2 linked regions of the Arabidopsis thaliana genome follow. The protein of the gene in region 1 interacts with the protein of each later gene in a pairwise test. Each region holds a gene or a part of one and is shown on either strand. Other genes may lie near its edges. The genes, in order: UBC35 and RGLG1.

What was found.
Region 2: the proteins of UBC35 (region 1) and RGLG1 interact in a two-hybrid assay, tested with the Arabidopsis thaliana proteins (one study listed by BioGRID).

Annotation. Positions count from the first base shown.
Region 1 is NC_003070.9:29,648,127-29,653,111, forward strand, and holds UBC35 (ubiquitin-conjugating enzyme 35), read left to right. Parts: upstream 1-2,249; 5' UTR 2,250-2,462; coding exon 2,463-2,498; intron 2,499-2,596; coding exon 2,597-2,624; exon of another isoform or gene 2,625-2,802; coding exon 2,803-2,889; coding exon of another isoform or gene 2,890-2,892; intron 2,893-3,189; coding exon 3,190-3,248; intron 3,249-3,521; coding exon 3,522-3,563; intron 3,564-3,645; coding exon 3,646-3,719; coding exon of another isoform or gene 3,720-3,732; exon of another isoform or gene 3,733-3,822; coding exon 3,823-3,920; intron 3,921-4,039; coding exon 4,040-4,077; 3' UTR 4,078-4,485; downstream 4,486-4,985. Other genes in the region: AT1G78880 (Ubiquitin-specific protease family C19-related protein), read right to left, coding at 4,942-4,985. UniProt on the Arabidopsis thaliana protein: Catalyzes the synthesis of non-canonical poly-ubiquitin chains that are linked through 'Lys-63'. This type of poly-ubiquitination does not lead to protein degradation by the proteasome. Mediates transcriptional activation of target genes.
Region 2 is NC_003074.8:239,855-245,882, forward strand, and holds RGLG1 (RING domain ligase1), read left to right. Parts: upstream 1-1,884; 5' UTR 1,885-2,207; exon of another isoform or gene 2,208-2,724; intron 2,725-2,821; 5' UTR 2,822-2,879; coding exon 2,880-3,305; intron 3,306-3,399; coding exon 3,400-3,484; intron 3,485-3,558; coding exon 3,559-3,699; intron 3,700-3,783; coding exon 3,784-3,897; intron 3,898-4,005; coding exon 4,006-4,103; intron 4,104-4,194; coding exon 4,195-4,274; intron 4,275-4,388; coding exon 4,389-4,494; intron 4,495-4,585; coding exon 4,586-4,713; intron 4,714-4,813; coding exon 4,814-4,967; intron 4,968-5,070; coding exon 5,071-5,208; 3' UTR 5,209-5,430; downstream 5,431-6,028. Other genes in the region: GLCAK (glucuronokinase G), read left to right, coding at 29-178, 270-458, 541-657, 823-983, 1,107-1,344; AT3G01660 (S-adenosyl-L-methionine-dependent methyltransferases superfamily protein), read left to right, coding at 5,678-6,028. UniProt on the Arabidopsis thaliana protein: E3 ubiquitin-protein ligase that mediates the formation of 'Lys-63'-linked ubiquitin chains. Regulates apical dominance by acting on the auxin transport proteins abundance.

The sequences.
Region 1 (4,985 bases):
GAAAATCGCCACTCCTTCCAAACTGAGGACCATACAACGTTATACCAACGGATCCGATAAGCTGCGTTATCTACACTTGGTTATTTTAAAATTAATTAACGTTTTAATGAGTTTGCGAAATATGGATGCGAAACAGATCCTCATTTTCATTTTCTTCAGTTGCTATGTTCCAATTTTTAGTTTTCTGAGTTTGATCACCAATTTTTTTGAGAAGTTGTTAAAGTATTTGTTTCCTTTTATGATTAATCTCAATCCACCTTTTTTTTGTCTTTGATATATTAGATCACTGTTAAAGGTGTGCGACCTGCAACAGAGTGGTCTTTTCCCGATCAAGTTAACATTTAATAACAACGTACAAAATGTATGACATAAAAAAGTGTTTTGACTAACGACTAACAGCGATACGACTAACAGTGGTTCAACTTGTGCTTGGCTTCGACTAACAGACGCTTCGACGAAATGTGAAGTAAAAACAATAATTGTTCAAGTAATATTCATACTTCGCCTAAAACGGTTTTTATATAAGCTTTTTTTAAATAAAGTGTGATTTTTGCACTTGCCTTTAAATGCGGAATTGCGGAAGTGTTTTCAAGTGTTACGAATAACTATGTTTTGACTAAAATGTTAGGAGTAATTTGCCTGACTAGTTTAGGAGTACGTGTTCGTGATTTAATATTGTGTTCAACAGTATAACTAATGTACTTCACTAAGTATGCTTTGTTTAGAAGTATGCTTGGAAATATATGTTTCGACTTTTAAGTAAATTGATCTAGTGTTTTACGTGTGTTCGGATTTAGATATAAGTTTTTTGAGTAAGTGCTTCGACTAAATTTTGGCTAAAGGGATTTTGTTGAATTAATTAAGTGTTAATGTAATTTTAAAGACGTAAGAAAATACACATTTATTAGTCGTGTGTGTATCTTGTTAAATGTGTTTTTTTTTGGTTGAATGGTTCAGTGCTACGACTTTGACTATTTTTTGTTGAAAATAATTTGGTGTTTACTAAGTATGTTTCAACTATTTTAATTTTTTAGTTGTGAGTTTTAATTAAAAGTTCCGCATCATATCTTTTTTTAAGAAAATATTTTTTAGTTACTGAGTGTTTTACTACTAAATGATATAGTGTTTATGAGTGTGTTATTAAAGTAGAATTAAAAAGTTTACACTAGAAAGTGTTTCGAGTGATGAGTATTTCGACTAAAAAGTGCTTCAATTATTATTGATAGTAGTTGATTTTTGGAAAGGATTGAAAACTAACCTGGCGGAAATTGCAATTCATGTTTATGCTTTAGCTCTCTAAGTAGTGGATATTGTTGTTCGCTTGTTGAAGCTTTGTCCTCCTCATCAGAATTAATGATCCCTCGCAAAAAATATTATATCTTGATTAAAAACATTATTAGGACTATTATCAAATAAATAATAACGAAAATAAAAGATTCATGGTTTAAATTAAGGCATTGCACCGTATTCATTTGTCAACATATAAGTTTTAAACGAAGTATCAACAATACGAATAACATAGAAATCAAAATCCAACATGGGTCAAAACAAAGTACTAAGAGCCAAGAAGAGTAATTCCGACTAAAAACACCCAAACAATACAACAAGAAAGAAACTGGAAATTAAAGTACATAGAGACAGAAAGGTAATGTACAAAGGTTTTACATAGACACAGTTTTCGCTTTTCACCGTAAAGTAAAGTACAAAGTAACTCACCGATGATTGGCTGAGTTTTGCCGCCGAAGATGAAGAGAGAATCAGACAACAAGAGACAAAAAGAGAATAGGTTTCTATCTACATGTCTTGGTTTGGATTAGATAATTTAGGAGTAACGAGGACTGTGTTGTGTGTATTACTATATATAGACAAGTTTTCTTTACCGTTGGGTAAAATCACTAACGGATAGTTTTCGAATTCTCAGCTTTTGACGTCATAGTTACCGTTCTGACATCCTCAACGGCTAACTCACAGTGAACCTACTACCTAGTTCGCTACTTTAAAGTCGTATTATTCTTGATGGGCTTTCGAGATCGGCCCAACCCAATGAAATGTTTAAAGTTTTACAAGTCCAATATAAAATGACAAGCTTAATGGATAAACTGGATTTGGTTAAGGTCCATTATAATAAATATGGGCCTCACATATAAATGGCTTTGATGGACCAATAAGCCCGGAAATCTGAGAAAATCTATGTAATATTCGAAAACTGTTGGGAAAAATCAATAAATAAGTAGAACTTTAGGGAGGGTTAGCAATAAACAAAGGTTGCGGGAAAATACGTAAAATAAAAGCTAATATATTATTTGATTCGTCCAGAGTTGAATTTTAAAGATAGAGAAAGGAAATCGAATTAAAATCTTCGTCAGATTCGAGAGACGACGACGACGAACTTGTTGTTCTCGATTATCATCAGCAGCTCCCTTCAAAAACCCTAACTCTCTGAGCTCGATCGACAAGTGATAATGGCCAACAGTAATTTGCCGCGAAGAATCATCAAGGTTTGTTTTCCAATCTCGATTTGATTCCTTGGACAAACTCTACCGATCTCTGTTTCTATCGGAGTCTCTTAACTTTTGTTTTCCTTGCGATCTGATAGGAAACTCAACGTCTGCTCAGTGAACCGGGTAAAAAACTCTTTAATTCGTCCTGCCTTGTTGAGTTATAGTGTTGATTTTGAGATGATAATATCAATTTTGATGGTTGAATTGTGGATCCGAGACGTGACCGTCCATGGAGTTTGGAATTTGGTTGTAGAGTAAGATTTAAATCTGATTATAACTTCGATTGATTTGATTGGTGCAGCTCCCGGTATAAGTGCCTCTCCATCTGAGGATAATATGCGGTATTTCAACGTTATGATTCTTGGTCCTACACAATCACCTTATGAAGGTAGTCAAATAGTCTTCTGATAATCCGAGTATTAGATTTTTTGCTTTGAGAGTACAACATGTTTATGTCAAGCAATGATTGCTAATGCTCTTGTATCTTGTTTGTGACACTAGCTAGTGTTAAGTATAGTCCTGAATATACATACACAACTGTACTTAGTTTTATTATTAACACATTCGATTTGTTCTGTTGCGTACCAGATGCTAAGTTTAAAACTTGTACCTTTTTTCTTTTTCTCCTTTGAATATGCTCTCTCTTAAAATTTTAACTTTTTACTGAGTGATAGATTCCATCTTATAGGAGGAGTTTTCAAGTTGGAGCTCTTTTTGCCTGAAGAATACCCTATGGCAGCTCCCAAGGTAAGTCATTTGACTATAAGTAGTGTCAGCTATAAGAATCTAGTTATTAAGCGAATATATTGGTTTGGTATTTATTTGTACACATACCAAATGGTCTCTGAGATCCATGATTCTGGTTGGATTATGAGTGACGTACATGTAATGTCATATTTCTTGTCATTGTTTCTCTTTTCATATGGATATAGTTCTTGAACGTTTGATTTTTTGTAAATGGTTTGTGTAGAGCATTTCTCTATTCTCTAATGACTCTATTAATGATTTAATCTGTTACAGGTTAGGTTTCTCACAAAGATATACCATCCTAACATTGACAAGGTCTGTTCCAAATCCCTCCTCTTTTTCCTTTGTCATCCACACAACCAAAGACATGCTCCTAAACTTGTGTCTATTTGAGCAGCTTGGAAGAATCTGTCTTGATATTCTCAAGGACAAATGGAGCCCTGCACTACAAATACGAACAGTGCTCTTAAGGTATATGAGCTGATTACATAAGATTATTTCCTGCTAAAAACTATTGGTTTCTTGGAGCTTGACTTCTGCTCCTATTTTATTAACGTGTGCAATCCTTATAAAGTATTCAAGCTCTTCTGAGTGCACCAAACCCAGATGATCCGCTTTCTGAGAACATTGCTAAGCACTGGAAGAGTAATGAGGCAGAAGCTGTGGATACAGGTGATGTGATTTTAACACTGAATTTAAACTTGTTACAATATCTTTCTACTCTTTCTTTCTTTCTTTCTTTCTAAACGTTGTGTTAGTATCTCACATCCTTGTGAACTATATCTGTGCAGCTAAGGAATGGACCCGTCTTTATGCAAGCGGCGCATGATAAATTGGAGGGTGAAAACTGAAAAGATCTCTTTCATCCAAATAACATTACATTTGCTGAAATCTATCTCAACATCAAAGTTATAAGAAAGCTTATATTTTGCTGGTTATTTCCCCCCGCCACTGCTCTGTAATCTCTCTTAATCACACTGTATCATTACTCCTAGGATCAATACTCGTTCTTATATTTGAAGTTCGTCAAAGTCTTTTGAGTAAAAAATATCTATATTTCTCTAGTGTCTAAGCTCTGTAAATTCTAAGTTTCATCAAAATCCATAGGTTACTTACTGATCATTGTTGGAATTTACTTCTTTTACAAATTGGCAGTGATGTAGAGAGAGTTTGTAATTTATATACATTTCCCCGATGAGGTGATTCTGTTGTATTTTTGGAAAGAGTTGATCTCAGGAAGAAACAATAAGGAGGAAATAATAAATACAATCCACATGCAACGGGAACATTCCAAACTAAAAAGATAATCCCCATTACATTAGATCACAAATTAGGTCGAAAAAAGAATAACTAGCAGAGCTTTACAAATTACAAACCATAAGGCAAAGAAGAGTGCCCACAACACAAATTAAGTTGTAGAAAAGAAATCCACATCCATCATCATCATTATCATCCTAATGTAATAATAACTCGATATAAAAAATAAGAAATATTAAAAGAGAGAAGAAAAAGAAAACACTACCATAAACCACCAACCAAAGGAATCATCATCAGTAGAGAGCGAAAAGGCCACCAACCAAGAACACATTTCAGATTTCATGAAAAATATTAATGAAGCCGAAGTGGAGCAGTGAAATTTTCGTCTACCAACCGTGGAAGAAGAAGGAAAAGAAAGACTTCCACTACTACTGCATCAGACAGGAATTGCATCTACGTTCGATGAATCTTCGCATCTCA
Region 2 (6,028 bases), on another chromosome or scaffold:
ATGGCTCTAATTCTGAGATTTTGTGTAGCTGAATCGTTTGCAAAATGAAGGATACTACGGTGGGGTAAGGTTGCTAATGGCGATATGTAAAGTATTCCGTAACTATTGCAAAGAGAATGACATTCAACTTCACCAAGCCAACTTCTCTCTTTCTTATGATACCAATATCCCTAGGCAGGTACTGATCATTTTCCTTCCCCTTTCTCTCTATGTTTTTTTCTTTTCTCTGCCACCAACGCTTATCTTTTCAACTTTGATGCTCCTTCCAGACAGGGCTTTCGGGTTCTAGTGCCATCGTATCCGCTGCCCTTAACTGCCTTCTCGACTTCTACAATGTCAGGCATTTGATCAAAGTACAAGTCCGCCCTAACATTGTTCTCAGTGCTGAGAAAGAACTTGGCATTGTTGCTGGTCTTCAGGACAGGGTTGCTCAGGTCTATGGTGGTCTTGTTCACATGGTCAGTGTCTCCCCTCCTATCTCATACATTGCCGTTGGTTCCATCGGTTTTATGACTTTTTATCATCTTCTTCACTTTGCAGGATTTTAGCAAGGAGCACATGGATAAATTGGGGCATGGGATTTACACTCCTATGGATATCAGTCTCCTCCCTCCTCTGCATCTCATCTATGCTGAGAATCCGAGCGACTCAGGGAAGGTACTTACACTTATTCAATGATTCTGGTTTATGCATCAATCAAGTGAAATTCCTCAAAAAGCATTTATGACACTAGAACTCAGATCTTTGGGGCATAACTCAGTAGAATTTAGAAGTATCTCTCTGTTAGATGTTTCATAATATTAGCATTGCCTTCTAATGCAGGTACATAGTATGGTTCGGCAAAGATGGTTAGACGGTGATGAGTTTATAATCTCATCAATGAAAGAAGTCGGAAGTCTAGCAGAAGAAGGTCGAACTGCATTACTCAACAAGGACCATTCCAAACTTGTGGAACTCATGAACCTTAATTTCGACATTCGGAGGTAAATATAATTCCAGACAAAACTCGAACCTATACACAACTTAAGATTAAACTCCAAGCTCACATGATGTTGAAATAGATGGGAATACACACATATAATAGTGATGTCTTTTTTTCCCGATAGGCGGATGTTTGGGGATGAATGCTTAGGAGCAATGAACATAGAGATGGTGGAAGTAGCAAGGAGGGTTGGTGCAGCCTCAAAGTTCACTGGAAGTGGAGGAGCAGTGGTGGTTTTCTGCCCTGAAGGTCCATCTCAGGTGAAACTTCTGGAAGAAGAATGCAGGAAAGCGGGATTTACGCTTCAGCCGGTAAAAATTGCGCCTTCATGTTTGAATGATTCTGACATTCAGACCTTATGAAAGCCTTGATCAAGTCTTCTTATTCACACGATAGAGCCATTTTCCAGAGAAATAAACATGTGAGCTTTAATTGGGTGGTTGTTCTGTTTCTTTTTCTTGCCCATTTTTGTTGTTTGTTCCTTGGCTTATACTAATATGTTTGTTTTGTTTCTTTTTCCACATTAAGGTCCAATTTTTTATATTATATTAAAAGAACTAAAGAACAGATGATCAAAATTGAAGTAGTAATGATATTTATTTGCCATATTTGTGCTCTTTTTTGTTTTGTTGAAACTGTATATACAGAAGTTGGCAGATATAGTGTGGAGAAAAAAAAAGAAATATAGAATTCAGAGATCATTATTTGGCAGAAAATGAAGAGAAATCGTGCCAGACATGTTCAATTTCTAATCTATACTATTACTAGTACCCTACTTGATGAAATCTGAACAAAACATGTGTGTGTTTCAGAATCACGAATTCGAATTGCTACTAGTGTTTTTTACAATCTTAATGGAAATAAAATGGTTATTTGATCGAGTAATAAATATTAAAATTTTGAAATCGGTCTGGACTTGGACTTGGACTTGGACATGGTGGGCCAATAATAAACAAATCCAACTAATCTTTTCCAGATTTCATGATTGAAACGTAAAGTGAAAGATTAAACAAGAGAAAAAAGGTTAGATAGCTTTCTGAACAAAAGGAGAGAATTTGGGGATATAGATAGAATCCGCCATTTAAGATCCCTTCCCTTTGACCTGTTGAGTGTTGACAACCTGAAAAGAAACAAAAAAAGAAGAAGACCGCTTCATCTTCTCAACACCACCTCTGTCTTATTGCTCTCTTTTCTTCTTCGTCGACTTCTCTCACACATACAAAAGGTTTGGGATTTTTTTTGGTAGAATCTTTTTAAGTTATCTATCGAAATCAGTTTGATCTGTTTTGTTTTTCCCTCTTCTCTTCTGGGTTGTTGGTGAATAAATCTACTTTTCATCTTAATTAGGACAAATCTCTCTAATTAAAACGCCTCAGATTTTGTCTTCAGTTGTTTTGTTTTAAACCCTAAGTTACTTGTAAGTTAAATGAAATCTACAATTCTTAATTTCTTGTTTCCAAAATTGTGAAAAAATCCAAACATATATAGAATAGACACGTAACGGCTCAAAGTCGGTAATTGGAGGTAACGTGATTGAATCTTCTTCATCAATCATAAATCTTCTCTCTTAAGAATTAAGACGCCGCCTCATTACACCTGTTCCATAATCATCGTCAATATATTCATTCTGCAAAACTATTCTTCTTCTTCTTTCAAAGTCGTAATTGCTCTCTCTCACCCCTAGGTTCTTAAGTCATACCCATTTTCAAGGACACCTTAGAAAGTTTCGAGTTTTCTATTAGGTAATTGCATGTTGAATCTGTTACGTTCTTCTTGTGATTCCCCTTTTTTCTGGCCCAAAGAGGATAAGATTCTAAAAATCTGAATCTTTGTATGCAGGTGTATTGATCTTGAAGCCTTAAAGTTTGTGTCTTTTTGTTAATTTGAATAAAGTTTGATGGGAGGAGGGAATTCCAAAGAAGAGTCGTCATCACCATCTTCATCATCATGGGCTTCTCATCAAAGTTATCCTCAATATGGACCTGATAGCTACAACTATCCTCCTCCACCCACTTATGCTCCCGCTCCATCTCCTGCTCCTGCTCCTGCTCCGGTGCCTGCTCCATCTCCGGCTTCCAGTTATGGCCCTCAGTATAGTCAAGAGGGTTATGCATCACAGCCTAATAATCCTCCACCACCCACTTATGCTCCCGCTCCATCTCCGGCTTCCAGTTATGGCCATCAGTATAGTCAAGAGGGCTATGCATCAGCAGCATCACAGCCTAATTATCCTCCACCTCCTTCACAGAGTCAAGTTGCTGACAGGAAGAAATTTGATCGGAGGTATTCCAAAATATCGGATAACTACTCTTCTTTACTGCAGGTTAGTTTAAGACAATGCATATGCTATACACTTGGATTTTCCCCTCAAAGGTTCTTTGGAAACTGAATCTAGCATGTGTCTGAATTGATTCCAGGTGTCCGAGGCTCTAGGCCGTGCAGGTCTTGAATCTTCTAATCTAATCGTTGGTATTGATTTCACCAAGAGCAATGAATGGACAGGTTTGTTATATTATTCTTATTCTTACGTTTTGAATGTAAAGGAGAAGCCAAACTAATTGGTTTTGGTACTGCAGGGGCCAAGTCCTTCAATAGGAAAAGCTTGCATCACTTGAGCAATACCCCGAATCCATACGAGCAAGCAATTACTATCATTGGAAGAACCTTAGCCGCCTTTGACGAGGATAACTTAATTCCTTGTTATGGTTTTGGAGACGGTATGCACTGTTTTCTCTCTTCTCGATTCTCATAAGAATGTATATCAATCGGATCATCATTGACTTGCTTTCATCTCTTTGCAGCATCAACTCATGATCAAGACGTGTTTAGTTTCTATCCAGAGGGAAGATTCTGTAATGGATTTGAGGAAGTATTGGCTCGTTATAGAGAAATTGTACCTCAGCTTAAGCTCGCAGGTTTATTTCCTGCTCTGACCTGCACTGGCCAATTCTATATCTCCTTGTGAAACGCAAGTTATAAACTTAAAACTGTGTTTTTTTTTCCTGCGAACTTATGTATTTCAGGACCAACTTCTTTTGCCCCGATCATTGAAATGGCAATGACAGTGGTTGAGCAGAGTAGTGGCCAATATCATGTGTTAGTGATTATAGCTGATGGCCAGGTACTGATTAATATTTTGACTGCCTAAGCTGTGTATGATCTTCTGGTTTTGTGTCTAGGGATATCAAAGTGGACCCATTTTGTTGTTTCAGGTCACAAGAAGTGTCGATACCGAACACGGGCGGCTAAGTCCGCAAGAACAGAAGACAGTAGATGCAATTGTGAAAGCAAGGTGCGAATATTTCAATCTTTTGACTAATGTTTCTTCCATTTTAAAGTTCTTTACTTTGAGTGTAATGTTATAAAGTGTTATGGTATGTAATCAGTTTCATCCTCTCTATTACAGTACCCTTCCTTTGTCAATAGTCTTAGTTGGGGTCGGGGATGGACCATGGGACATGATGCAGGAATTTGATGATAACATACCTGCCCGAGCTTTCGATAACTTCCAGGTAAGCTTCTTTTTTTCATATCATGACATTGAAGATTGCTTCTTTTCTTCAGTTTGGAACCATTTTTCTAACATGTTTGCTCTGTTTCTAGTTTGTGAACTTCACAGAGATCATGTCAAAGAACAAAGACCAGTCTCGGAAGGAGACAGAGTTTGCGCTGTCTGCTCTCATGGAGATCCCTCCACAGTACAAAGCAACGATAGAGCTTAACCTTTTAGGGTAAGGGACCCAAATCAAAACTCTGATAGGTGTAGCTGCGAGAAACTGCTATATTGTTAAACAAAATGCTCACCTTTCTCTTTCCCTTACATTTTTGCAGGGTAAGAAATGGAAATATCCCACAGAGAATCCCACTTCCGCCACCGGTGCAGAGTGGATCATCATTCTCTAGTTCCCGGATACCGAATTTTGAACCGAGTGTACCTCCTTATCCATTTGAGAGCAAGCAAATGAGTAGTGCAGACGATATTCAGGTAATTAGTAGAAACTTAGGAATCTGTTTGAAATGTTAAGTGAAATAAGAGCTTTGGAACTTTTTGTTGTTAAACTCGTTTGTGTTATTTTCCCCTTGAACAGCTATGTCCGATATGTCTGAGCAACCCGAAAAACATGGCGTTTGGTTGTGGCCATCAGACTTGTTGTGAATGCGGACCAGATCTTAAAGTGTGTCCTATTTGTCGTGCGCCGATCCAGACCAGAATCAAGCTTTACTAACAACACCATTGACATGCAGCTTTGACCAGCCCAAATCCCATTTCTTCCAGAGATTTTCAGATCTTTCTGTAGAAAATTAAAGTGTTCTTTTGTTCTTTGATTGAATTCCTAAACTTTATCTTGTTCATAAAATTTCTTTGATTGGATTGTAAGAATTATGTATTTGTCTGTTGGCTTTCTTTGATTTTTCAAGATTCGATTAAACCAAAGTTGATTGCTTAAACACTTTAATTTTGATTTGTTTTGTCGACATAAGCAATGAGAAATAAATGGATGAATAGCCCAATAGAAGCCCATTAGCCTGAAATTGGGCTACAAGCAAACATACCAAATAAATAGTAGGGAAGAGCAGAAATAATCACACCACTCATCAGTTATCCATTCCTTTCTTTTTACATAAATTTTGTCACTTTTTCTACAAACGATTCTTCGCTTCTGTGAAATTTGATAAAGCGAAAGTTTTTTTCTTATGGATTCTCTTCGATTCAACCTCCAACAATCTCCATTTCAATTGAAACCTAGAATTCTCCGACCAAGAATCACCAACATATCAAACCGAATCGATGAAACCGATCCTCGACCATCATCCTCGGCCGGTAGGATCCAAAGGTTAGTACTTAACAACGAAGGTCGGACCAAACTAAACGCCGATCCTGACCGTGAATTCTATTCATATCCACGGTTCGTGAACCACGTAGATGATAGTTTCATATCCTCCTTAACCGAACTATACAGAAACCGGTTGAGACCCGGTTCGACTGTACTTGACTTGATGAGCTCATGGGTCAGCCATCTTCCAGAAGAAGTGAAGTACGAGAAA